4 linked regions of the Oreochromis niloticus genome follow. The main gene of each other region encodes a partner of the protein of the gene in region 3 in a complex. Links are inferred from orthologs where the notes say so. Each region holds a gene or a part of one and is shown on either strand. Other genes may lie near its edges.

What was found.
Region 1: drc8 (region 3) and drc12 share a complex: the UniProt entries of both Homo sapiens proteins name them as parts of the nexin-dynein regulatory complex. The link is inferred for Oreochromis niloticus from reciprocal best matches to the Homo sapiens genes DRC8 and DRC12.
Region 2: drc8 (region 3) and ccdc135 share a complex: the UniProt entries of both Homo sapiens proteins name them as parts of the nexin-dynein regulatory complex. The link is inferred for Oreochromis niloticus from reciprocal best matches to the Homo sapiens genes DRC8 and DRC7.
Region 4: drc8 (region 3) and drc1 share a complex: the UniProt entries of both Homo sapiens proteins name them as parts of the nexin-dynein regulatory complex. The link is inferred for Oreochromis niloticus from reciprocal best matches to the Homo sapiens genes DRC8 and DRC1.

What each region holds. Positions count from the first base shown.
Region 1 is NC_031979.2:20,322,963-20,329,890, reverse strand, and holds the start of drc12 (dynein regulatory complex protein 12), read right to left. Parts: upstream 3,026-6,928; 5' UTR 2,941-3,025; coding exon 2,889-2,940; intron 2,816-2,888; coding exon 2,747-2,815; intron 2,288-2,746; coding exon 2,168-2,287; intron 1,942-2,167; coding exon 1,849-1,941; intron 1,757-1,848; coding exon 1,626-1,756; intron 1-1,625. UniProt on the Homo sapiens protein: Component of the nexin-dynein regulatory complex (N-DRC), a key regulator of ciliary/flagellar motility which maintains the alignment and integrity of the distal axoneme and regulates microtubule sliding in motile axonemes.
Region 2 is NC_031984.2:2,435,229-2,442,755, reverse strand, and holds the start of ccdc135 (dynein regulatory complex subunit 7), read left to right. Parts: upstream 1-4,516; 5' UTR 4,517-4,614; intron 4,615-5,680; 5' UTR 5,681-5,704; coding exon 5,705-5,742; intron 5,743-6,294; coding exon 6,295-6,433; intron 6,434-6,548; coding exon 6,549-6,674; intron 6,675-7,362; coding exon 7,363-7,527. UniProt on the Homo sapiens protein: Component of the nexin-dynein regulatory complex (N-DRC) a key regulator of ciliary/flagellar motility which maintains the alignment and integrity of the distal axoneme and regulates microtubule sliding in motile axonemes.
Region 3 is NC_031965.2:25,792,983-25,799,990, forward strand, and holds the start of drc8 (dynein regulatory complex protein 8), read left to right. Parts: upstream 1-4,002; 5' UTR 4,003-4,142; coding exon 4,143-4,167; intron 4,168-4,362; coding exon 4,363-4,453; intron 4,454-6,535; coding exon 6,536-6,608; intron 6,609-6,818; coding exon 6,819-6,895; intron 6,896-7,008. Other genes in the region: cgref1 (cell growth regulator with EF hand domain protein 1), read left to right, coding at 1,952-2,028, 2,179-2,267. UniProt on the Homo sapiens protein: Component of the nexin-dynein regulatory complex (N-DRC), a key regulator of ciliary/flagellar motility which maintains the alignment and integrity of the distal axoneme and regulates microtubule sliding in motile axonemes.
Region 4 is NC_031980.2:12,171,777-12,178,707, forward strand, and holds the start of drc1 (dynein regulatory complex protein 1), read left to right. Parts: upstream 1-3,905; 5' UTR 3,906-4,059; coding exon 4,060-4,136; intron 4,137-4,580; coding exon 4,581-4,674; intron 4,675-5,450; exon of another isoform or gene 5,451-5,552; intron 5,553-6,796; coding exon 6,797-6,909; intron 6,910-6,931. UniProt on the Homo sapiens protein: Component of the nexin-dynein regulatory complex (N-DRC) a key regulator of ciliary/flagellar motility which maintains the alignment and integrity of the distal axoneme and regulates microtubule sliding in motile axonemes.

The sequences.
Region 1 (6,928 bases), on a different chromosome or scaffold from region 3:
CCAAGGGCTTTTTTAACATTTTCTGTGGATTGACGAGACAAAAGCTTAACTTTTTGGAGGTTACCTATTACATCTGACATAAAACTAACACAGCATTTCATAAAAAGAACATATCAACAATCAAACGTGGTTGTGTGGTGTCGTGGTTTGGAGCAGCTTTGCTGCTTCAGGACCTGAACGACTTGCTGTAGTTGATGGAACGATGAATTCTGCTCTCTACCAGAAAATCCTGAAGGGGAATGTCCAGCCATTAGTTCACGCCCTGAATCTTAAACACCTCAGGACAATGATACGTAAACACACCAACAAGTACACAAACGGGATCATAACTTTAAAAAACAAAACAAAATAAAGCTTTTGGATTGGCCTACTCAAGATCTGGACTTAAATCCAACAGAGATGCTTTGGCACAACCTTAAACAGACCACTCATACTTATAAACCCTCCAATATAGATGAATTAAAACAATTCTGCAAAGAAGAGTGTCTCAAAATCCCTCCAGTTTGCCAGTTATTCCAAACGCTCAATTGCAGTTTTTGCTGCCAAAGGTGGCCTGACCCGTTATTAGCTTCAGGAGGCAATTTCTTTTTTTAACACAGAGCCAAGTAGGTTTGATTTTTTTTTTACTCTAATAAATAAAAGCATCATTTGAAAACAGCATTTTGTATATACTCGGGTTATTTTTCTCTAATATTAAAATCTGATTTTCTAAAACATGTAAGTGTCACAAATATGCAAAAAATAAGAAATCAGGAAGAGGGTGAATATTTTTCTACAGCTCTATTTATGGCTTCTTTTTTCAGCAGTTTCTGGGTCGTGTTGATTGCATAATTTCTGGTGTTGTGTGCACTGATCGTTCCGCAAAGCTGCAAAGTTTGTAATGGAGTACTAACTTTTCTGATCTAAGCACCATATTTCAGGCCTGCTTATTGACAAAAAATACTCACTCTGCATCAGAAGTTAGTGAGGGCATTCTCTGCCTGTACAGCTACCCTTGGAAAAACCCCAAAACTACTCTAATGGTCATGAAAGGACATCTTTATTGATATGTACTAAGGTGTCAAAACTTGTCGTTAAGGATACACAGGAAGTCTGCAAATGTCATTTTATGGGGGGAAGATTAAACCACATGTATACTGTACACTCCATCTAGTTTTTTAACATTTCTGACCTAACATTATTAGACATAAACTGCAACAGTTTTCATCAGTGTCATCATAATGTCATAAGAATCATTTTGAAGTCACTGAATTCATATAAAACATCCATGACAGCTCTATTAGCGTTTTCTTAGTTTGTCGTTTTAGACTGAATTATCTGCTCAAAGCAATCATACATTCAGGAGCTTGACTTTCAAGAAATTGGTGTCATCACACCGCTCTTTCAAGAGTCACACATAATCTGCAGGCCTGACCAACAAGTAGAAGTGCTAGTACCTTCCCATGACTTTGGCGGAACTAACTGAGATCAAGTTCTCTGAGGGTTGGTCTAACTGCACCATACAAGACAAAGCTGCCCCACATTGTGCAAAAGGTTACCTCAAATAGGTTTTTGTATACATGTAGGTTTTCAAATGCGTATTGTTGCCACACTGTGTGGTTGAACTGGCTTGTGTTGAAACTCACATGAAGGATCTTCTCATAGTCTGACTCTATGTTGTCCAGCTTTTGTCGAAGGTCTGCTATGATGGCATCCTTCTCCTGCTCCACTTGCTTACGCTCACTTTTCTCTTTAGTCAGTTCCTCCTGGGATAGGGCTATACAAATACAGAGAGGCGAGACACCCTTTTAGTAAATTCTTATATGGCTTCATTTGTTTGATTATACTTTAAATATAGATAGACCATACCAAGGTCTTCCTTCAGCTGGCTGACTTCCTGTTCCAGTTTCTTCACCTTATTGGTCAGTTTGGTCTGCATGGTTTTGTACTGGCGACTGAGGTCTAGAATGACATTTGCGTCAGCTATTTCAGAGTTCACTGCTGATTCACTTTGAAAAGCTAATACAGCAATCAGCTTAAGCGCCCGGCTAATTAGATTTTTTGTTCCTCAAAAATTAGCCTAACCTCGGCAAACACGCCCCTTGTCCTCACTCCCAAAGGGATCCGCACTTTGCTCAGGTTATTAAAAGACAGACTAATTTTGGATTCGTGCCCCGTCTGTACCCACCCCAGTAGATGTCCCTGTGGTCTTGTCTCTCGTGCTGCAGCTTCTGTTCCATGTCTCTCGCGCGTCTCCTCAGATCAGCTCTCTCCGATTGGACCCTTCTCAGAGCCTCACACTGTAAGGCTGCAGGAAGTCACACAAACACATGCAGGCATTGAACGCACAAACCAGAGGGAGCTTTGTTTGTTTTTTGTTTGGTTGTTTTCATAAGCAAAAATGGAAATGGCTCTCTTATCAAAACTTGTATTAATGCAAACTAAATTATCTAGTAAACATGCCCAAATATGCAGTCAAGTTTTAACATGTGGGCTTTCATTTCCACTTGTATTGCTTTTAAAAAATGTTCAAATAGCACAATATACATATGTTTTTTTCCACTATTTTCTATCTTTTTATGCGGTAAAAGACTGATCTCTTAATAACTCACTTAAAATCTATATACAACCCAATAACATGGGACATCAGGGATTTAAAAGGGAACAGACATGACAAGGAGTGGAGTCATATTCAGTTTGACCCTTTATGTAAAAATCATACTGTCTGTTTTTATTATTTATAAAAGAATAAAACCTGCAGGCTCACCTATGTGATCCTGCAGAATGGCTATATCCAGAATACTGTGCCTACGCTTTTCTTCCACGTCATTTTGACCTGTAACAACACAGAAATATGTGTATGAAATAAAAGATCTGCAGTCACAAAAGAAAAAAAGAATCTCGATTACATTTTTCTGGATTTTTCTCTGCGGCCTTTTTTGTCTTCTTCTTCGGAGCCATACTTGCTTGCTGCAAGGCTGCCTGTTCAACCCACCGACACACAGAGGGCCTACGCTTACTGTATGGTGGTGAGACTCTGTTGCTGTGCACTGGTTGCTGAGTGAGCAGCCATAAAACAAAGTGCCCGGTTTAATTGATAGTTGAGTGACTTTTACAACGGCCAGTCACACACATGACTGGGGAACGCGCACAGCGCCAGCTGCCTTCAGTATATGTGAAAGCGTCTTTTGTTGCTAGGGGTGACCGAGGCCCGAGCTGGGAGAACTCAGAGATGCACTCAGCAGCATCTCTCGGAGATTTTATGAATGCTGTACAGGCAGACGCGCGTGCTCGGTTTCGGTCATGTATATCGAGAACGCGCTTTAAAAAGAAGGCGGAGAGTTTAGGGTTTGGGCAGCTGGGAGAGAAAGGAGGGGTTGGGGGTTAACGGAAGGGGACGTACAGGAAAGGAAAGGGCCGCACATACACGTCACGGGGGGGAAACAGAAAATGCTGGGCAATGTTTAAATCCCATAATTATTTATTCACCCTAGTTCCCGTCTATGACCGTGAGGCTTTCGCAGCTTTAAGTTCAACTTCCTCTCCTCGGTCGTCGGTGAGCGCTTTGTGTCGTCAGCCTCGCAGCCCGCAAAGGAGTGCTGACAGTGTCACAGAGCCTCTGAACTTCCCCTGAAGACACGGCACAACCGAAAAGAGCTGCTGCTGACAAAAGAGAGGAACGACATCGCGGCTTGGACAGAGGCGAGGACACGCACGAGTCCAGCGAAGAAACGGTTGCCATTGTCCTCCAGCTGAGGGCGAGGGGAGCCAGGTCTGGTGCTCCGTTAATTAGCCTGCGTGGGTCCCTGCAGAGAGAGAGGGAGACGCTGAGCAACGCAGCCTGCTAGCTGCAGCACAGAGGGGAACTTGTGCAGGGTGTGAGTGACCGTTGGGCTTGTTTTATCCACAGTCTGGACATTTATCTACCAAATAATCATGTTATGTTTACTGATGGGAGCCTTTATCCAATAGTCATCTCTTCCTCCCTCATTTTACCCCCGTCGGACCCTGGCTCGGATTCGCCGCTCGGGCGCTGTCCTCACAGGGGGTACGGGATCACCATCGCCCGGTCCAACCAACTCCAGGCGGCGGTTCGGTCCCCCTGACCCCTGCCCTGCCTCACCTCGCCTGTCTGCCGCTCTGGCCGAGCCCGAACATGGCTGGGAACCTGAAGAAAGGCGGGGGGATCATCGGAATGATGAAGGATGCCTTCCAGCCACACCATCACCACCTTCACTCCCATCACCAGCCCGGGGCCGTGGACAAAAAGACGGTGGAGAAATGCTGGAAACTAATGGACAAGGTTTGTCAACGTTAAGCCCTTAACGTTTGCTTACGCGTCGGATGCCTAGGGCGACTGCTAGCTAACCGTAGCTAACTTGCGATAAGCTAGCTAATCTTCGCCTGCTGAAGGTCTGTTGTTGCTAAGTTAGCTAACAGGCTGGTACAGGACATGGTTAGCTAACTTTAGCTCATAGCTAACCTGAACTCTTGTTTTGTTCGTCATGCGGCACGCCACTTTCGTAGCAGTTTAATATTAACTGGCATACAAAGGCTTAGTTTATTACTTGGCAGGGTTGTTAACACTTTCGGGTAACTACCCTTTAGTTGTGAAACCGCGGTGCATAGCGTTACATTGTTTGACCACGGCTAAATATTTTAAGGTATATCACAATCTTTAGCTCTAACAAGGAAGTTAGTATTCTTTAAATATGCCACATAAGGGCTGAATCTAACGACTTTGTGGCAGGAAATTGAAAATACAAGGTCTCACAGCACTGCAACAGTGTCTCCTGTAGCTCGTTTATGAAAATCTATAGTCAGCTGTCTCTCAACCCTTGGAAATTGTAAGAAATTGTTTAGAGAAGAAGAAAAGTACGCATTTTACGTGTCCAGCTATGCTCTTTAACAGGGGAGAGTCATCTCACAGCTTTACTTCTCGGAAAAAAAGCCTGCAACAGTTTGACCCCCAGTTTCCTGTGAGATTCACACACGGCTTTTTTGTTTCTCAACTTCCAACGCGACGGCTTAGTTATAAACTATGATGCCTTTGCAAAACTGCTAACACATTTAAGTGTATTTTGCTTAGTCGGGCCTCAAATAGCACAGACAAGAACACAAGTGGCACTGAAACGTTGATCTTTATTATCACCTTGTTTTCTGTGAATGTTCAACGCTCCTGTAGAAAGCTTGTCTCATGCAGACCAAACAAGAAAGGAGAGGCTGCTGATCTGATCTGCCACACATTAAACTACCTGCCACCTATCAGTTTGGCTCTTGCAGTTTACAGAAGGGATTATTTTGCCATGTTAATATGGCTTTATAGAAACTCATTGACTGGAAGAAAAACAGCCAGATAAAGTAATATCTTACCTTAACAAAAAAACAAACAAACAAACAAAAGCTATACCACAGGTGCCAAAAGTGATTTTACTCCACGGGACTGCGTAAAATAGCAGCAGAAATATTTTTAGCGTTATCTAAAGTGAACCCACAAACCAACAGATACCACTGACCATACCTGCAGAATTATAATGCAGTTTCTCCTTGAAAACACCTCCCACATAGAACTAAGTTAAATTTTGATCAAAACCAAGAGGCTGATTTCCCTGTTACTTGCTGTACCTGTTCATCAAGATCTATATCTGTTACAGTGGCTGATGTTTATCTGTTGTCACATCAATTTTGTGCTGACTGAATGCTCAGTGATAGCGGGATGAAGAGCTCAAATCACTTTATTTTTTTATAATGAAGATATGGAGTTTTTTTTTGTTTTTTTTCTGGAGGAGAAGGAAAAATAATTATCATTTATTTATAGGCAAGTTGTTAATCAGGCAGTGGTTTTACAGTTGGGGCATGCATTTATACTGTCAATGCATAACGTCAGTATTCTTAATTTAGCTAAAGTGTGTTACCGCCCGGCTCGGCTAGGGATGTAAAGAGATGACACCATAGACTGCCCCGGTCAATATTAAAGGTTTATTTTAAAACAAGTTTAACATCAGATCCTGTTTCTGTCTCCGTTGTTGCACCACCACATCCTTTTGGCTAATTAGGTAAACTAATACTTAAGTAAAATCAGAAGTATTATCTACGGGAATGCCTTTAGTAAGATTTTAAGATTTAGCCGATATCAGACCCTGAATTTCACATCATAATCAAAGACAGTCATTTTTTTAAAAAAAAATCAGTTTTATCCGAACAAGACATTGTTCGCCGTGTGCCAGTGTGGAGGTGTATAGTTGAAAGGTACTTAACATTTACAGAGTCGGCTCGTTTGTCTCCTTCATTCTTTTTATGCCTTTTTATGACTAAACAAGTGTAGCAAGACGATAATCGCTGCTTGGCCTACAACATGGTTCTATTTAGAGTATAGACACTGATCATAATACCACATTATGCTGGGCAATACTTATTACTTACTTATTACTAGCTTTGAGGGAGGTTGTCTCACTTGGCTGTACTAAAGACAACATGTGCAAGAAAGCACTTAAAATGGCTGTTTGCAGCGAAAATCCCCCAAAATTCAACCAGCTCCAACTTGTCTTCGACCTGTAAAATACCTTGAAGTTGATGTGGAAAAATCTACATAATCATGCCAGGTGTAGAATCACCTGAGAGAGAGAGAGAAAGATCAGTGGCATGTAATTTAGCTCGGAGCGGTTCAGCGTTTTACTTTAAGTCAGAAACTTTAACAGATGCTGACATAGAGCATTCAGCAGTTGTGACCTTGTACCAGCGCATGCATGAATTCTGTTTCACTGAGGGTTGGGTACAAGTGTTAGCACTAAGCGCTTGGAGGCCTGGAGAAGGTTAATGGAATTGGGACACATTGTTGGTATTACTGGCTCTTTTTTAAGTTCTCCTCTAGTCATGCCTCAGCTTGGTAGATTAAATCATTTTTATCAGTGAAATCATCACGGTGTTTTTATTTGTTGTGCATGTATAG
Region 2 (7,527 bases), on a different chromosome or scaffold from region 3:
TGAGCTGATAAATGGTTGGTCCAGAGTCTCTATATTATTGCATAGTGCCTGTTCTACATCTAGCCAGGGCTATAAGGCGCACTTACAATCCTTTAATTTTCTCAAAAATCGACAGTGCCCCTTATGTATGAATTCTGGTTGTGCTTACTGACCTCAAACTGATTTTATGCGGCACACGGCGCTCAAAAGTCTGTCAAAAAATGTTTTAGTATGACTTTGCTAAGCTATGAAGCCGCACTGCTTAAAAGATTGCTGAAGCATTACGGCTACTGAAGTCAGGAGCCTTGTGGAGTAATCAGGGTCCTAAACTCCATCCTCTTCAGGTCCCAAAGTCAAACGAACACTGCGGCATCACTGAGAGTTAAAAACTGTCTTAATTCTTTCATCTTTAATAAAATGATCAGCGTTGCTGCTTTACCAGGTGTAACAATAAAGTTTAACATCCAGGCATCCATGAAAACAGAATTTATTAAATTTAATGGAGTTAGAAGTTAGCAGGAAGTTAGCTCGCTAGCTTCCAACTAAACATGATATAGCATGTTCTGACTGAGAGATTTCTGAAAAAACGCTCTTTAGTTCTGTCCACCAGTTCATAGGTCTTGGAGGTGGATATGTGAAGACTTACCAAAGTGACAGAAATGTAACATTCCAGCCTCCCCTTCAGTTTGCATATTGGGCGACTTAGATGATGTCACTAAAGAGTCCACATTCCTCTCACCACCCTATGCATTGCCAAGAAGACTGTCCACAAGAACTGGAAAAATAAAAATAATCCTAATTCTAACCAATACAGAGACAGTCTGATAGATCATATTAGTGTTGGTACAGCCTGTGCCACCACATTAGACCAATCTTTCTGGCCTGCTTTGATTGGCTCTATCAACTAGTGGGGCTGGGGGCTCCTGGTTTTGTCCCACCTATATATCATTGTAGGTGATGGAGTACGGACGGGGTACTCACTTGGGGTGTTTGGGGGTTCCCTGAGGGTTGGGTTTCTTGTCCGCTCGACCCAGGGGCTGTGGTCATGACCTGGATGGGGCTCTGGTGACTGTGAGCGGCAAGGCTGGGGGGCTCTGTGCCTGTGGACATAGATTAGCGACCTAGTAGCCATGCTGGTCCTGGGTTGGTCTAGGGTGGGCTTGGGGACTTGGGTTCTGGGGGTGTTCCACCTCTGGGTTTGAGTCCTGGTTGGTGTGTTGCTGAGGTTGTGGATGGGTGCATACACAGGGGCCCCGCCCTGGTGCTGGGGGCCTCTGGTGCATCGGTGAAACTGGGGGCCTCTTTAGCTGGCAGGAGGTTTTTAACATCCTTTGCAGGCGGTCTCTGCTCCTGAGGATTCCGCTCTGCAGGTATGTTAATCCCCCCCCCCCAATCTTTTCCTCCCCACCTCCATCCCAACTCCTCCCGCTTCATCACACCACCACACATACAGGACCCCTCCTGGCCACCTGTGCCTCAATTTTATTCCACAACTTAGACACTCACATTACTTACACTCTCATGACACATACATATAAGACCTTGGGAGTGGGCACACTGTCCAGAAGACAGTCTGTTTATACACTCTCACATCTGGTGCCAGTCCCCACCTCTCAATTTTAAATACATGTAGACATTGAGGGTTCTCGGGAGGGGCTTTGCTGACACCAGCTGTTGTCTGGCAGAAGGTAGTTGGCGCCAAGCCCCTCCCATGTTTTAACTACACTTTAGAATAGCACGCATCAAAACCACATATGAGCAGGCAGAGTGAGGTATGAAGTCTTCTCATATGCTGTACGTCGTCTGGGCCAGTGGGCTGGGAGGAGCTGGCCGTCTGTTTGGGGTCTGGGCTGGGGGGCTTCCCTGCTGCTGCAGGACCAGGGGCAGTCTGCTTGTCTCCACCGCAGAGTAAAGGGAACCATCTTCTGGGTCTGGGGCCGATTAGCAGTCTGGCGGTGATGGTGCCTGGACCTGGGGATACAGAGTATGTATGGGGGAGTGTGAGTGCGTGTACTGCGTTCAGTTCTGTGTGTCTCCATGTTGGGCGAATGTGTGAGTATTTGTAAATGTGTGCATGAGGGTGGGAATGCATGTTTGTGTGTGCTCCTGTTTGTCTATGTGTCTGTGTCAGGTCGGGTCTTAGACTCCACCTCTCTCAGAACATCTCAGGCCCACCCAGGTGTGGGGGCCTCTCTCCCTGGACCGCACTCCCTGCCAGTGGCTGGTGCCTTCACCCAACGGTGCATTTTTGGTTCTCAGTGTCCGGTACTGTGTCTCGGATGTGTACTGACTCACTGTTTGGTGGGCCTGGCCCCCTGGCTCTGTCAGACCCTTTCCGGGGTTTGGAGGGTGCTAAGGTCTCTGGGCCCAGGGCTCGGTCTGCGTAGCTCTGCCTAGCTAGCTGCAGGTGGGGCCTGCGGTCTTGTTGCTGCAGCCCCCTGTGGCTGCTGGGTGACTCCGGTCCGGGGCTCTCCTCAGCTTTTTTTTCAGGCAGGTGGCGTGATTGCCTTTCTGGTGGTCCTCCTTGGCCTCTCATGGTCTGGGGGGCCTCTGGATGTCTGGGGCCCTGATCTCCTTTATGGCTGCTTCATGTCCTGGGGGGTAGGGCTATGGCTCTCCACCACACACACTATTAGACAATTACACGGACAAACCTTATGAATACATAAGTGCGCTCACACACACACACTCACAGACTCTACTGCTGCTCCCCCTATGTTCCATGTTCATTATTAGTCCTGTATGCTACATCCTCTTCTAATCTTCTGTTCACTTTGACAATGCCTCGAGTAAATAACAATTAATCGTTATCTGCAAAGAATTTTATAGTCCTCTTCTTTTCTCCAGTTTCTTTCATGGCATGGCCATTACCCAATTTTAACATCCAATCACCTATTGTGCTGTGAAATCACCTGATGCGAGCCATATCTTGTTGTTCTCTTGCCCCTCACCTTATCTCTGTAGACAAAGTTACTTTATCACAGTAGTCACATTTATTCAACATAATTAACTTCAGTTTGCATAATTTCAACATTTCTTGTCATCTCAATTAGAAACACATTGTTTTTGTCACAAACTGGAAAGGTGAGTGAAGTTTGGACCCAAGGGCAGACTTAATTGCACAAACTATTTACAAGATTTATTTACAGGAGTAATCAACTTAAACAAGAGCACGTATATTAACAGAAACTATGAACAGGTGTCGTGGGAAACCAGGGGATGGAGAAAGGTTCTGGCACTCATAACACAAGGAGAGCATGGGCAGGAACTTCTGCAACAGAGGAGAGAAGTATCACTGGACTGGGAAACGAGTGAGCGGGTTGAACTCAGTAGTACTTGTGGAGGGTATGTGCTTACTTGTAGATGCAGGCCGGCTGGCATAGGAGGGGTAGCTGTGAGAGTGTCCAGGGGATGGCGGAGTATGCAGGTGAGATGGATCCAAGTTCCAAGGGGTCTAGAGGAAAGATATATCCACAATTGAGATGACGGGCAGGAGGGCAGGCCGAGGAGCAGGTGAGTGTGAAATCGTTTGTCTGCAGGTAGACTGGAGAACTGGGTGGAAGTGGGACCAGCGGTGCTGATAAGCACGACAGAAGATGGATCTGTAGAGAACTGGAGACGGAAAACACATTAATCCAAAAACAGCATGAATCACGAACACAAGGATGTCTGAGTTACCACCAATGGTAGCAGGACGAACTGGTGGAGAGTGGCAGGCAGCGGTGGTTTAAAAACCCTCCAGATGATGGTCCAGAAATTAGGAGAAGGTGATGTGCTGACAAAACGCCACCTCAGGGGACGAGCAACTGGAACTGGTCTCACACCCAATCAGACACTCCCACGGCACAGTTTCCCTTGATCATTCCATATACTTTTCATTTCTGATTACTTTCTCTAAGAATTTGCTTTTTCTTGTGTCTCTTTTTAACTCAGTATGTGAACTTTAGTATTTATCGATCACAGTTCAAAAGTTAGTTACTCAAAAATGACTTATTCTGTTTTTTTCAGCACAATAAGATCAAAAACTTTTCTGTTTCTCTGTCTTTTTGTCTGCTCCACATTCCTCACTCACAGGCACTTTGTAAGTTTTGATTAGATTTCAGATTTGATGATAAATTCAATTACAGCAGGAACATCTAACATCCAAAGCACATAGATTAAACTCTGTCACTCTCTGCTACATTACACCCACCAAAGCTGGGTTTTAGGCCTTTTCCTTCACCTCTGGTTGGAGCTGAGCCGAGGGATCTCAGTCTCGTTGACACTTTCAAAAAGTATGCAGGTTCAAAGGGCAATAGCTTCACTCTCCAGGCCTAGTACACCATCTATGGGCACACATGTTCATCTTCATAGTGTACTTTTATATAATTAAAGGGAGGATTCTGGAGGGGTATTTTCATGCGATACCTTGACTGGTCTGCCTCACTTCAGATCAAATTGGGCCAGGAAACAGAATAAATTTGGCATCCCTGTTTCAAAGCGCGTCTGAAGTGTGTTCTGTATGAATCCTATTAACTCCGAGGGTAAGTGAATGCAGCATACCTTCACGTCGTGACGTGTTGCTGTTACCATGGACATGAGGCAACGACAACGCTTACGAATGTGAAGCAGCTAAAAACAGTTAACGGAGCCCGGGTGAGTAAAAGTTTAACCAGTTTTCAAAGAGTTTGTTTAAGTGTCGCTCGCTTTAGTTTGATAGCACGTTAAAAAGCACGTTTTAAACGAGGTTAGTTACAGGTCTGTATGTGGGACAGCAGACGTGGTTACTACAGGGAACAAAAACTGAACTGAAATAGAAGTAGATGTGAAATTTAAAGAAATGAATAAAAAAAACTTAAAGTAAACTCATAAAATACTGAAAGTACTAAAACTGATATAAACTAAACTCTAAACGACATTTTAAAAAGAGAAAAAATGGAATACATGCATAACGGTTTGTGAGGAAGAGGACTCCCTTACTATGATTATTTATATTATCTGTATAGCATTGTGAGCACACCTTTCACTTTATTAAAAGCACCTTATCAAGCACTTTATTTAGCATCGCACTTTAAGCATGGATTTGCACAGTAAAACATTTGCACACAAGAAGTTTAATTATATTTATTGGGAATTTTAAAATCAGCTGGCAGCCTCGTTTCAGGTCCTACACAGGTCCTCAATCACCAAAGTGGATGGTTGCAGGAACCAACAGGTCCGTCGGGTTCTTGTCTCCCCAGAAACACTTCCCTTGTGCTTTTGGAAATCAGTTTTTTCCTATTTCTGTTGTGTTTTCGTTTTGTGTTTCGTTTTGTGTGCTTTTGCAGCGTTTTTCTTATTGCTGGTGTTTTCTTAAGTTGCAGTCTGTTTGGCCTCTCAGGGCCACCGTAGTATTGTATTCAAAGTTTTCTTACATTTTGAATGGTAGATGAGGTGTTATCCAGCTCAATACACACTACTTATTTCTAGAGCAGAAATCTGAGATTTAAAAGTTGTGTTTAAGTTTGTTGACAGTGTCAGATAGTCAGATGTTTTTACTGAAGAATTTTCAGCCTCATTTTTTTGAACCAATAAGAAAATACTGACAACAAGATCTAATTTGATTGTATTATTTTATTTAGTAAAATTGTCTACATGTGTGTGCTTTTCTGATGTTTTTCCGTGTGTGTGTTTATGTGTAAACTTCAGGCGCACATAAACACAATTAACCTTAATCCAGTAGGATCGCCAGAGGAGCACAGCACTGATGGAGATGGAGGACGTTTCTGCTTCTGAGAAGCTTCTGTAAGTTTTTTTACACTCATAGACAAACTACATACACACAGGGATGAAGAAAATACACGAAAAGAAAAAAGTTCGTTGTTACCAACTCTACAAAACGCCTTTAAAAGACATTAAAGACAGACAAGACTGTCACAGAGGTTCTGCAGGAGGTTTCTTCCTGTTAAAAGGGAGTTTTTCCTTCCCACTGTCACCAAAGCATTTGCTCACAGAGAGTCATGTGATTGTTGGGTTTTCTCTGTTTCTCTTGATTATCCCTTTAAAACCTGTAACATGAAATAATTGACAGAAAAATCAATCTTATTTAAAATGGAGGCTTTATTTTTGTTTGAAAAAGTAATTAAATTTTAATTTCCATGTATGATTTTTCATTTGCATTTTATTTTCTACATCTGTCCTTGTTTTAAAAATTGCTTTAAAATCTATTCTACAATTTATTTAGATTTTTCTGAGGGAAAAAGTCCCACTGATGATGTAGAAGCTCAAAAAGCATTGTAGGGTAAAGCTGGTGGCTTTGAGGTCATCTTCACGTCTTCACCTGTTCTCCTTCTTCAGCCCCGAGTCCTACAGGAGCAACTCTCCAGAAGAGATTCGACTGTTAGCCATCGCAGAAAACTTCCAGCGTCAGTACTCGCACTTGTGTCCTGACCGCAAACCGCTGCTGCTCTGTCCTGTAAACGAATGTGGAGTAAAGGTAGGTTTATCTCACTCAACCTTTTTCTCTCTGAAGAACAGATCCCATTGGACCTTCACATCTGCAAACACCCTAAATACTTTCTGCATCGCCGTCTGTCTCTTCTCATATTCAGAAGTTTGTGTCGACGTCTCTTCGTCCAACGTCGACCATCCACTGTGAACTGTTCGAGTGGCAGGGCTGTGCCTCTTTTGTGGCCGACTTCCTGTCGTTGGTCCCTCTGGATCCGCCCGTGGAGCTGGTCAGAAAGGAAACAGCAGACAAATGTTTATTTGAGTCTTAGGAGCAAACAAAGTATTTTTTGTAATCAGTGGTTGAGAGTTAAAGCATATGTTAGAGAGAACTTCTTTTATTCTGCTGTTTCTGTTTTGTGAAACCATAATTTTCATAATTCAGATAATTATTGCATATAATGTAATTCTAATATAAGAAATGCTCGTGTTTAGCTGCACATTAACTGCGTGTCATCCTGTCGTGTCTGTATGCAGTATTTTCAAACCTCACATGACCAACAACTGTATATATTATTCTATTCTATTTTATTCTATTGTATATAGTATTTTATTTTATTTTATTTTATTGTATTTTATTGCATTCCAGTGTTTTCTAATTTCTGCTACATAACTTTGCACTTTTGCTGTAACAAAACAAATTTCCCACCTGTGGGACTAATAAAGGCCATCTTATCTTATCTTATCTTATCTTAACTGATGATGTCACACTCAGAGATGATGTGAAAATGTGTTTCTGAGAAGCTGATATATATATATACAGTCATTGTCCCGAACATGTTTCAGCTTTTCAAGATGGTGGATGAGAAAAGAAACAAGACTGCAGCACATAATCACATTCACATCAATAAATACACACATGCGTGCACCTTCTCTCGGTGTGTCTGATTGTGGCGGTGTGCGTCTCTCCCGTTGCAGCCAAAGGTCCTTTCCTCTCCCAACGCGGTGCTGCAGAGTCAGAAAGCCACGTGTTTTGAGTATGCCACTCTGCTGTGCAGCCTGCTGCTCGGCGAAGACTACGACGCCTACTGCGTCAGCGGCTACGCCGTCAAAGAGATGTGTCTGCTCAATCAGAGCCTGCAG
Region 3 (7,008 bases):
GGGGTTCTCCTCACCACACTGCAAATATTATCTCAGCACACATAGCTGCTACTGTGCTGAAATAGTTTGAACTTGCCTGTAATAAACTGTTCAGAGAACAAAAGAAGAAATATCTAACCACACGACAGATGCAGTTTCTTTCCATTTGTTGGTAAGATTAAATAATGTGTACACGCTATCATACTTTCATCTTAAGGTTATTGCATGTAAGACCAGATAAATGTTAGCTGTATGGAATAGCAGTTGGAATTTACACCACCCTTAGTAAATAATACATGTTGGTTCAAAGCAGGCCTTTGTGCAGCCTGAATCAACATTTGTAAAAAGATTATTCAAGCATTTAGAGTGTCTCACTGTTGCAACATTGCTTCATTTATGGCATGTGATGGAGTGCATGAAGTTTAAGATGTTAAAACAAATGATGCCCTGAGAGCAGTCTCGGTTCTTACCACCAGATCTTGCCTTAATACCTTTTTAAGTCTCATGTAAAGCTCATGACTCATAGCTGATCCAAAATTCAGGCCAAAGGTGTTTCCTTTAGAGCACAACTGAGTTGCCTTCAACACAGCTGCTTCAATCAAAATCTGTCACAGATCATCATTGTTACCATCTACTTCATGTAAGATTATGAAAGGTAGAACCGCCTGCTACGACGTGTTATGTGTTAAGAATGTTAAGAAGTTTCTATTATTATATTAAGGGTGTGTAACCAGTTTAATACCTGTTCACTAGATGTCAAGAGTCTATTCACAAATATAGGAAATCATTTATAAGTACACATCTGCCATCTGCTTCACTTAAGATTACATATACAAGTACATAGCACATGTACCTAAAATATGAGTTTAAGGCATGTGCCAATGAACATTTCTCACTTCACAGCCTTGATTTAAAAAACAGTGCTATTGGACTTCTATGGACGAATTTGTCATATTATTTCCAGCAAGGTGAACATATTTATATTTATATCTATCTATATATATCTATATATCTATATCTATATGTATGTATATATATACATATATGTGTGTGTGTGTGTGTGTGTGTGTGTGTGTGTGTGTGTGTGTGTGTGTGTGAATAATAACATTGCTGAGCAACACGGTGGCGCAGTGGCTAACATCTGTTGTTTCACAGCAAGAAAATCATATGTTTGGCCCCAAATTCCTTCCACAGTCCAGCAACATGAATTTGAGGTTAATTAGTTTATTGTTATTGATTGAAAAAAAATCACATTGCAGAATTTTTCATCAGTCATTAACAATAAAAAAGAACAGGAGCTGAATTGGAGTTAAATAAAAGTGCGCACAGTGATGTCAGGAAACTCATTGTTTAATTTCCTTAAAAATTATATTCAGTCAGCTCACTTTCACTTCTTGTTTTTCCGCTCCCCACCTTTTAATGACTTTACACTCTGTCAGTGAGTCCTGTAACTGTGCAAGTTTATGGTTATCTGTCTGTTTGTATCCAGGGTGTACCCTGTATCTCGCCCTGTGTCAGCTGCGATCAGCTGCGATCAGCTGCCATCTAAAGCGGTTAATAAAATTGGTTATTTTTATTGCTACATTCTAGATTTTTTAATGAATGAAGAGGTATTGATTTCTCTTCTAACCTCTTCTCACAACATGAGACACAAGTTATTTTGTACATCACTGAACATGATTGAAGGGGATCTTTAACTTCTTTTAAACATGTTATAAATGATTTAAAGAGCTGAAACAGGCTCTGTGAGCAGAAGTCTGTGTGCATCTGAACTGAAATAGTGAAGTCCAAGTTTTTGGAGACGGGAGCGTGGGGTTTAGGAGCTTGAAGAGTCTGGCACAGGGTGCTTGAGTGTTATACCCTCTACCAGATGGCACAAGGGTGGAAAGAGTCTGTAGCACATGGCAGTTGCACTACCAATCTGCTTTCTAACATTTTTTCTAAACTGTGCTTTTTGTTGTGTGTACCACAGTTTGAGACAGAGTTACATTCAATCAAGCCTGAAGAATGGAGGTCAAGGAGGACCAGAAATCACCACCTGGGAACAAGGTAAACAATGCCTCTTACCAGTAGATATTACACTGATGGGTTCTGACTGGGATCACCATTGCCAAATAATGTAGACTTTATTAGTCAGAATCTAATAAAGTCTTTTTTATTTGATTGTATAATTGTGAATTGTGCTGTGCTATGTTCCAGAGGTATTCTTCCTGTTTGGCCTTTATGATTATGATCGCAGTGGGTTCTTAGATGGCTTGGAGATGATGAAGCTCCTCTCAGATTTTTAACTCCCATCATATACCTGGAGCAGAGGCCAGTGAGCAGGTTAGCAGGAGCGACTGTATGTGTGTGTATTTGAACTGACAAGGTGTTGGCCTTTTTCCTTCACTCTGTGATATTTGTGTATGTTTGCATGTTGCTTTCAGGTGGTTTCTATGGTAGATTTCTTACTACAGACTCAGGATCTAAACCAGGATGGTCTGCTGGCTCTATCTGAGCTGCTCTCCCCTTCACTCACTCACACACAGGTACTGCAAATGTATTGGAAGTACTGTTAATACTGTTCAAGCTTGATGTAGTTTTATTCACACCTTTATTATATTTGGCTGCAAAAACAACACCTCATCATAACTTTCTACCTTAAAGGACCCAAGCAACAACAATGCACCTCAGCAGGAGCAGGAAGCAGTAGTGGAGGAACAGCTATCAAACGCTATTGCTAACGTGGACAGCGTCGGTGCAGTGGAGCAGAGAGAGGAACAGATTCGTGAAGAGATTCAGCTTCAAGAGGATGTACAAGGAAAGGAAGTTGAACCCATAAGGCAAATGGATGAATATGAGAGACATCAAATCCCAGAAGTCACAATAGAAGATCTGGGGCAGGACCACAATATCCCTGTACATCAGGGCCAACCAGAGATATAAAACACACACACATAAACACACTAGAGAAAACACCACTCTGTCATCTAGGCCTCAGTCTCTTATGTACTGTATGGGATAGCTTCTTAATCAGCATCCCCAAAAATGGTCCTCTTCTGGATCTGAGTTCTGAGTTTCTGCTAATGCACAATTCACTGGACTGTTAAACATGTAGATGGGTGGTCAAAAGGTCTTTCTGGTCAAAATATTTCTGCCACTGTATTGGGATGCTCAATGATTCCCAGAGCTTTTAATGGGTTAAAGGCAGAATGTAATATTAGTTGCAACAATAAAACAGAAGCCATGATTAAAAGAGACCTTTTAATTTTTTTTTTTTAAGTTGGAAAATGTGTTATTACTTTAATTGAATTTATTTACCATTTATTTACCATTTTCTGCCATGATTATTTAATGTATTTGTTTGCTTTATACCACCAGTTTATGAGCTACTGCATCATTTGACTGGATGTTACTTGGATGTGTCCTCCTCCCCAAATGTCAGTAGACACTGTGGATTCATGTACATGTGGATGGTGGACTTTCTGCACTTTTAGCTGTTTTTTATAATGTTTCAGATTCACAGTTGGTTCAGCTGAAATGAAAATTCGCTCTCCTTAATATTATGTCAGCAAGTAAAATGAGTACATATTGAATTCACTAGACAAGGAGTATGAAAGAAAATAATCTTTATGGTGGCCCCATTGAAATAAAATGAAAAGTAATGTAAAATGCTATCATTATCTACATACTTGAAATGTTTTTAGTGTGAAAGAGTGTACTATTTGTTAATTTTTTAAATTTTTTTTGCTAATTTTTTAAACCATTTTATGCATTTATAAGGCGGAAGAAAATAAATAAGAAACAAGTATTTCTCTGCTCTCTTTGTTTGTTTTCAGTCTGTCTTGTGTTTAAATGTGATACTTATAGATTATTTCATAGAAAATTAACAAAATCCTTGGGAAAAAACCTTTATAGTATGAAAACACATTTTCGTGGCTTCATTATATCAGGAACTTCTGAGGGGTCACGTTGTTGGAAGGCTTTTTTTTTAATCGAATGACTTCTTCAGCAAGACGGTGAGCTTTAAATAAAAAATAAATTAATTAATAATGTGTTATTAGTAGCTCTATGTAATTCGACAATAAAGGTTTTCTGGCGATTAAAAGATGGCAAACGTCAGAGGCGTTTAATTGGTCTCCTACCATACTGTTGCTGGGCAACAGAAAAGCGACCGGACAAACATGGCGGAGAACAGCAAAAGTGCAGGTTGGTAATAGTTACTTTCATTTTCAGTTTGTCTACAAATTGAACATCTTGAGACCACAGTGAAAGTTTCAGTCTAAAACTCTGTGCCGACCCGTCATAGTGGCTGATCTTTGATGAAAGTATTGTCATTATTTCCTCCAGAACTAAGCCAGCTAAGCTAATGCTTCACTATGTGTTCTTTATTTTGTCTGTCAGAGGCCACCGTGCTTAATACCAAGATCCTCAAGAAGCTCAAAGGCGCTTTTCAAGCCTTTGACACCAAGTCTGATAACACAGTGGATATCAAGTGGGTAAAACAAGACAAGCCATTTACTTTTATTACCGGAAAGATACTTAATAGGTACTATGAAGCTGATTACTATGAAGATCCAAAGGACCTTAAACGTTTTAACAAGTACACAAGATGCAGTCTTGTGAGAAAATCTTGAGCCAGCCCTCATTTCTTTGCATTTTGTTACCAAGGAGCCAGATTTTATTGTAATTTTTAGCAATAGCTCTTTCATTTTTGTTCCAGTGTTGCACCTTTTTTTTTTTTGCGACCCCACTTAACACTTACCTGTGAATCACTTTAGCATAAACAAGACACCTACCTCTGGGGACCAGAACCAGTGTTGTGTCAACACCAAAGAACTCAGCAATCTCAAAACAATTCAGCAAAGAACCTGTTTTAACGGTTACTGGTCACCTTCTATTAGCAGACTGTTGCAAAAACACATAATTTTTTCCCCATTTCTTTAGTTGAATCAGCAAAAAATTCCAAAGATAATACATTTGAAAGGCATAAAATAGTATTTTTGCACCAACAAGGTGATTCCCAAAGATTAATGAAGGGAAACAGAAAGAAAAGGATGAGGTATGCCAAATTACACAAAAACTGTTTTCACATAACCTTGCCATGAAAATACAGGGATCTTAGTTTTATTTTGAAAACAGAAGTGCCATGGAGGTTTTTGATGTTTTTGCAAGGACTGGGCCAAATATCGGTGGCAATCATAAGCAAAGTACAGCTGCATTTCAGTCAGTGGTGTTGGTGAATTTATTCAAAATTCCTGAAATTATGAATAAAGAAAAGTACTGACAGATTTTGATTCACCGTGGAATACCATCTGATTGGTAAGAGCTCCCATTTTTCATCAACGAGTCTGACCCCAAACACAGCCGATGCAGTAACAGCATACCTGGATACAAAAACACAAAATGAAACACTGTCTGCCTGGAGAACTATTCCTGAAGACTACAAAATTACAAGAACACTGACTTTCAAGAGAGTTAGAATTACACAGTGTCTGTATTTCCACTTATGAATGTACATGTTTCAATAAATGGCTGTAAGAAATATTCTTAAAATCTCACCAGAGCTTTGTGCAACCTGAGGAACTCTAATCAGCCACACAGATGAAAACATCTGGCAAACAAATGTGCATGTCCTTTCCCTTCAGCGACAGTGCAGCATGTTTTCTAAGCCAAGTGTGTGCTTTCTATGTAAAATTAAACTAAATGGTAGAGTAGAATATTTTTTAATTAGCATTATTAGAGGTCACAGCAGCTTTAATTCCTAGATATTTTTTTTACTAACTTATGCAGATGCAGAAAGGTCGAAACACAGCTGTTTATTTAAATCTGCTCTCAGTAGGTTTCCTGTCTGTAAGTTTTTGAATTTCTCACTGGAGGTTTTAAATAGAGTGGAAACTGCACACAAAGTGTCCTCCCTGCTAAGGTAACCAGACTGTATATCTTTTATACAGTCTGACAAACTAAACATGGGCTTGGACAGTTTAGGACATTTTGCTAACCTAAAATTGTTGGTCTGTCCAGGGAAAAACTAATTATTTAGGTTAGAGATTTGGCATTTAGTTTGACAAAAACAAATATAAAGTATTTGCGTTTCTAACTTCATTTCTACATAAATAACATGAGCCTGAAAGTCAAGTGGCCCAATCTCTGAGAGCTGACTACTCCTGGCTTCAGCCACACTTCCTTTTCTTTGTTTTATTTCCATCACATTTGCTGAGATCTACATAACCTGTGAGTTTCCCTGTTAGATATAGCATAGGTGTCCATCCTGCAGTGTGGACTTCTGAATATTAGAGGCAATAAAAATGTGGGACTCAAGTCTCAAGACATACAAAATGCTGTGTAGTTCAGATTACGCAGCTGTTTCCACTGGTAAATAGTTTGGTTGAAGTGGGTTATTTGGACGCTGGCTGTGAGAAATAAAGTTTGTGGTTTGTCTCAAGGCTTTCCACTGGCTGAGTGGGCTTTAGTAGGACATTGCGGTGAGATGGTTCATAGCACACAGGAATTAGTGAAACTAACTGAAACTGTCCTTTTAAATACTTTTAATGCACTTCTTGTTGTTGTTCTCTAGGGAGATTGGCACCATCTTCTATTCACTGGGTTTCTTTCCCACTCAGGCAGACCTACAGAAGTTCACATCTGAGGTCAGTATAGCATCCTCCCGTAGTCTGGTTCTATTTTGGAAGATCAGTAATGGGATGTGCAAACAGGGTTCTGACATTGTGCATTTCAGTAATGTTACAGAATCTCCTGTGCCATTATGTGACTGTTATAAAATCCTGGGTAACATTAGAAGCATTATTTTTGTTAGAAAATTCAAAGCAACCCCCAACAGCCTGTTCCTGTGCAACCAGGTGGAAGATGAGCGCTCAGGATATATCCACTGGGACAGATTCCTCCCAGCCATGACTAAAGTGCTACTGGAGGACAAGTAAGACAGTTCAGTTATATCATTGTATAAAGAAATTTCTGATTTCTGTGGATGAGAAGAAGGCTGAGATGCAAATAGGAGTTTGTTAAACCAAATTATCTATTATACAATGT
Region 4 (6,931 bases), on a different chromosome or scaffold from region 3:
TTAGGTTAGCAGTCTGCTTTGGAGTCTTTATTGTTACTTTGTAAAAGATGAAGGGTTTTTTAAATTTTAGCTGCAAAAAGAACATTTTCATTTTGTGACGTGTGTGAGAATTTTATTTTATTTTTAAAAATTTTCTAAACTCATTTATATTAAACTGCAACAATGGAAGCAGCTCATTCACTCTCTTGTTGAGCTGACTGCAGAACAGAAAAAAAAAAAATCAATCCTGCAGTAATTATGGTCTAATGCCATGCAAAATTATTGTTCACCTAATCCACTCACAAAGGGCTTTGATTTTAAAAATGACTGTGAGAATAATTCTGTTGTAAACGTGATGGTTTATGAGGAGGAAATTAAAATGATTTTGTGAAATGACTCATATTCTGATCTTGACTGCTTGGTCCAGTTCTTTTCTGGATTAAAGTCCAAAAAATGAACCGAGGTAGGATGAAAAACATTAATGCCAGCGGTGACTTTTAGGTGTATTTACACAGAAATAAACAATTGTGCATTATAAGAAGTTATATCTTTTTATGGTTTATCTTTTTTTAATTAACTTTTATTTATGTATTTTTCCAACGGTCCTAAATGTAAAGAGTCATTAGCGTTGTTCAAGGAATATCTAATTAGCCTGTAATCACTGTTATTTCAGAGTAAAAGCATAGAGGTTTGATCTTATAGCTGTGTAATGGAAACCATGAATTTTTATTCTGAAATAGAGTTTGAATTTTTAAATAACTGTAACATTTTATAAATTTTGCTAATATCAGCATGTTCACAATAATCTGACACCATAGAGTGACTGACTTTTTTTTAATGGACTCTCATTATTACTGTATTTCTTTATCTTGCGTTCTCAGCTTGAATCGACAAGTGTTGATGCGTAAAAATTATGACATAAAGCTAAAAACAAAAACAAAATTAGCTAAAGAGCAAGATAGTAAGTAGCATTTATTACACAAACTATAATACAATAAACATGTAGCATGTTAAAAGAAATTGCATTTGTTTACCTGCTGCAGCCCCTTTGCCTCTCTGCATGCCTGCTTTTGTGTTTGCTCTCCCGTCTTTTAATGTTCAAAGGCTGAAATTGTGCAGTTAAAGAAGTAGAAACAAAAGATTTGTTGGGGGAAATTACTGGGCACTTGTTTGCAGTGCATGCTGCACACATGGCAAAAACATACTTCCTTTTGCACAAGTTACCTTGAGACAAGGCCAGTACATTTCATGTTTGAACAGTAAGGGGGATGCTCTTCATGTTGTTTGTGAATCTGGCCTTCTGTTTTCATTTATTAAATCTCATTTTTGTCCAATTTTTTTTTGACTAGTTTGCTGTTCTTTGACAAGGTCATGGCCTTTTTGGAGCTAAGCATTGTTGTATTTCTTAAAAAATGTTTTTTTTTTACTGTATTCTACAATCATCCTCCCCTCTTTTGTATTCTGTCCCATGCTGCAAAACAGTGAATGTCTCCATCGTTATGGCAATATTAAGACACTCTTAGTTAGGACTTAAAATGTTATGCAACCCCCACCACACCAACACTCTAAGCTGTCAGTTAGTTAACTGGCTGAAGGTCAAGCTTAGATTATGCCCCTGGGTAATGAATATGACGCTTTGTTGAACAAGAAGTAAACATATGCCCCTGGGGGTAGGAATTAACGGGCACACACACCCTCACACACACTCTTTTACCAAGCATATGTAGAGTGAATGGGGCTTATTATACACCTGCAAGTGGGGTCAAAGTCTGTCAATCCCTAGCTTATGGTATTATGATAGATTTTAGAATCACTCTCTAATGGCAGTCATTCAGTTTGTAATCTCAGCAGCTTGATGCAAAAGCACTCAACGTTCCAGCTAAGGGTCTGTTGAAAATAAGGCCTTCTCCTCCTCATTCATTCCTCACTTCCCTCTTTCCCAAAGGTCTTATGACAAGTCAGCTGTTAGTGACATCACAGATGCAGGATCATATGTCAGAAACCTTTGCTGCCTGACTTACATCCCTTGCAACCATGGCCACTTGAAGCCAAAAGAGCGGCGAGGGGCCCCGGGGGGTGGAGGCAGGGGCACTCTTCAGAGCAAGAACATCTGACCCGTGCGTGAGTTTGTTTGTGTGGGCAACCAGACTGTGCGCATCTTGCCATCAGCTTGAGAAGACATCTATCGTGTGCATGTGTGTGTGCATGTGTGTGTGAATTAGAAGTCCAGGTTCTGTGTATGTGAGTATCTGGGTTATGCTGATCAGGGGGCATGACAATTAGTGAGGCATGGCTCTTGTGAAAAAATATTCAGAAATACTTGTTTGTGAAACTTCAAGTCAAGTTTTGAACACAAGGTAGTAGCTCCACCTAAAGTCAGCTGTGCAAATTACACTAAAGTTTATTATGTGAAAATATTATTTAAATTCTTTTTTTTTTTTTTTTTTTTTTAGAAAAGAAATTAATCCTAAAAAACATTTAAGACACCACTTAATACACACACAAAAACCTCGTTAGGTCTCATGTTGATTAAAAATTTCACTTTTACAATTGTCTGCTTGTTGTGTCTCTAGCACTGTTCTGCTGAGCATGTGCCACAACTGCATAAAAATAATAGTTTTTGACTGCCTGTAACGCGTCACTGGGGAAAATAATCTTATGTCGTAATCTGTTTTATGAACCTACAATGAAACTTGGAAGATTATGATGTCACATTTCTTAGAAATGGCCCTGTTAGGGAGAGATCATTGCCACTATCTGCACACTGTCCTACAGTATGGAAGTTGTTCTCACCCCCAAAATGATCTGGACCAAGTGTGTCTAACATCAGGCCAATCAAAGACTCCAATCTGGCCCACTGGAAAATGTGAAAAATGTTGCAGATTGTGAAGTTCTTACTATAAGTTTAAATTTTGTTTTTACAGCTTTTCCTACTAATAAAGACTTCCCCTGTGGTCTTTCATACTACACCATAATAAATAAGTAATAGATAAATATTTAAATGACAGAAATGTTCCTGCTTTTTCCCTATCTGGTGTAGAATCTCTCTTTTTTATAGAGGAAAAAAGGCATTTTCTTTAAAAACAAAAAGTTAGTTCTGTTATTTCAGGACAGTCTGGTCAATGAGCTGTCTAAACTTTTCCTGTTTTTAAGTATATCTGTTTATTACATTTTAAGCCCCAAATCATGCTGACAGATTTCCTCCATTTCTTCATCACATAGAAAAAGGGAAATGTACTGTATTGAAGTTCTTTTTTTCTTAATTGAAGATATTTGAGGGATTTAATGTTTAGTTAAACTTCTTTACACTGACAGAAAGGGGAGTTTCGCTTGAGGTCAAAGTGAGCTGTTAAATGAGTTCCTGATCTAGAGCGGTTGAAACCCGATGATGCCGCTAGATGGCAGCACCGAGCCATGTAAAATTTAACAGCATCATAAAAGCTACTCCCCCGGTAGAGTCGCATTTTAAAAGCCCTAAACACAAGGAAAGGGAGTAAGAGAGCTTAATAAATAGAAGCAATCTCTAAACATGAACAGTCATTAGTAGCAGATAGAAGCACAGAATGAAAACAACAACAAAGCCGGCAGACTGTGCTTTATTAATAAATGAAGGGATTATATTAGAGACACTTGAAACTGTTAACGTCATCATTAGTCTTTCAATGATAAAGGAAGAAATATTCTGATAGGAAATATAAGTGCAATAAGTTGTGAAGAGAAAATGAAACAAGTTGTCACAGGCCTCTGCACAAACTAAGTGCAACCAATGATTCAGTAGCTTGTAGAACAACCCTCAGCAATGACACTTAAAAAGACACTGAAATAACGACTGCCACTGTTTTATGTTTGAGGAAAACACGAGCACGTTTCCTCTAAAAAACAAACAAACAAAAAAAAGGACTTCGAATTAACGAGGGAACCTGAAAGCAGCTCCGTCGCCAAAGCAACGCTTACCAAACAGACTCTACAGGGCTGCTGCGGACGATTTTAACCGTGCAACGTTTAATTACTTTCAGTATTTTTTACAACATCGTCCAACAATTAATTACTTTTCAGTATTTTTTGCAACATCGTCCAACAATGGAAGAAGCTGACAAAGTGCATGAAGAGGCGCCCGAACCTCCTGTGTTGTCCGACAATCAAGAGGATAAGAAGGGGTAACCTGCAGCTTACTGTGGCTAAACACTGCGATAGACTGGACAACGACAACTACCCTGATAGAGGCGTTGCATGTTGTGTGTGTGTGTTTTAAATCTGACCGTTTAATAAATACGATGAACTCAGGAAAATTAGGTCGAGATAATGGCCTCTGTCACTTTGCAGTTTGGCCCATTTTTGTTGATACCTTGCTCATTTGAGTTGAACGCTGCTCATGTAAAAAAGAAAAGTGGAACAATGAATGTTTTAACAGCTGTAAAAGCCTCACAGTTATATTTTATTACATCAGTTGAACACAGATATATAAAAAATAACCTCTGATAATCAAAAGACCACAGTTACATGTCGTAAATCTTTTCTTAGTGTCCCAGGTGATTAAGTAAAACGTTGTCCAGTTGACCTGATATCACTCTACAGATGGTAACTATATTGTATGTTTATAGGGCCTCCAGTTTTAAGGGAAAGGAAGACCCCACTGAGGAGGGGAATGAGGAGTTGAAGACCAAAATGCAAGAAGAAAAGAAGGACGTTAATAAGGTTGATTTTTTCATGTTTCCCTATCACCTACCTCTGCAGGTTAATGAAATCATTGAAATGTATATGTTTATTGGCATTCAAGGGTGATTCAGAATGTCCATTTTTTTTGCATTTATTTTAAAATTGGTTTAGTTTATTTAACGCCGAGGAGTGGATATAAGATGAAACTATAAAAATGCCAGGAACAATATCAACAAGACACTCACTACTTTGGTAAACCCAATAATATTACAATCTACAAAAATATGTTTAAGAAAAAAGATTTGCATTGAAAATTATCAACTAGGTGACTTTCAACTAAATGTATGTTGAGGTATTTGTGCTAAAGTATGTATGTGCTGGTGATCAGTCATCCAGCTCATGGTAGAAGGCATCTGGACTTCTTTTGGGTTTGTGAAGAAATTTCAGATTTCACCTCTCATCCACGAGATCTCTTTAGTTCTAAAAACCTGATGGAGACTGACAGACAATTAAACCCTTTTCGTGTTGTCCCCCTGGAGTGTAATCACGTGAGTCCGTAAGAGTCACACGAACCTAGGTGTGAACATGGTGTGAATCCTGTCACATGATGTTCAGTTCAATTCAATTAAATTCAAGATGTGAATCTTTTGTAAGACATTAGCTCATCCTGCTTTAAGATATTATACTGTAGCCTTGAGAGACCTTCCCAGGCAATTTAACCTTCACTAACACCTCATCCTCTATAATGAGATCCATGCCTCGTTCACACCTTGGCTCGTGTGACTCTTAATGACTTGCATGATTGCAAGGTGGTTCGAGGACTCTCAGGACACCAACAGGAGGACAATGTCATTAGGGGTTAAATACCGGCGGCTTGACACCAGTTTTTAGAACTGAAGAGACTTCATGGCTGAGAGGTGAGAAGTTGTCACAAAACAAAAAAGTTGCCTTCATTTTAAGGCAGGGCAGCTTAGGGTAAATTTACATTTCACTCCAAATAAGCTTTGCAAGGCAAGAGTGCTAACAGGACTGGAAAGAGGGATCAAATTTCTCTCATATCAAGTTCTCTTCATTGGTTCCCAGAATTTAAGTAATTCTTTCTTTTCAGTTTTGAATAGCGATATCTTACCCATCATATCTTAAAGACCCTATAGTACCATAATATATAGGCTAACCTGTGGCTTCTAGAGCTTCTAAAACTAGAATCAGAGCCACAGCCTTCAACTATCAGGACACTGTACTGTGGATCTCGCTCACCGTTTGGATTAAGGACATAAACATCAGTTGATGAAACTAAACTACGAAGAGAGGTGATGATCAGTCAGCAGCGGAGAAAGATCTCTACAGATCATGACAGTGTTGATGGAAAAATATAGAGAAGGTCAGAAGGAGCTTCAGTGTGTCTTTGTGGATCTAAAGAAAGCATCTGATGGGGTGCCAAGAGGGGAACTGTGCCACTGCATGAGGAAGTCAGGAGTGGCAGAGAAGTATGTGAGGGAGGTGGAAGACATGTACAGCGAGACAGTGGTGAGGTGTGGAGTAGGAGTGACACGTGGGTTCAAAGTGGATCAGCTCTAAGCCCCATCTTATTAGCAGTGATGATGGACAGGTTGACTAATGAGGTTAGGCAGGAGCTTCTGTGAACCATGATGTTTGCAGACAATATTCTGATCTGTAGTGAGAGCAGAAGGTGAAAGAGAGGAGCGATGGAAGTATGCAGTGGAAAGAAGAGGAGTGAAGGTCAGTAGAAACAAGCCAGAATACAAGCGTCTGAATGAGAGGGACACAGGTGGAAAGGTGAACATGCAAAGAGTAGAGATAGTGAAGGTATATGAGTTTAAATACCCGGGGTCATCCATCCAAAGGAACAGACATTATATCAGAGGGTTAGGTCATGATTTTGTGTTTTTGACTCTTATTTTGCATTGTGATTGCTATGTTGGAGTGAAATAATTAAATCCATTAAAGCGACTGGCCAAAGCAGAGGCAGCATTGTAATATCCACTAAAACAGATCTTTATAACTGAAACTGAAAACAAAACTGAAGTTATTGCAAAAGATGAAGTCCAATCAGTAAATGGACACTACCACAATCAGATGTAGCTTTCATAAATTCTTATGAGATGTATTTATTTTAATTTGTCCCACTTTCACTGCCCAGAGGATAATGAGCCTGCAGAAACGTCTGACCACATTAGTGACCAACATTCAAACTGCAGCCGACGCCAAAGAGATGGAGCGAAGGTCAGGGATGGAGGACAACTGCAGAATTAGGTCTGTCTTTTAAATTGTTCTC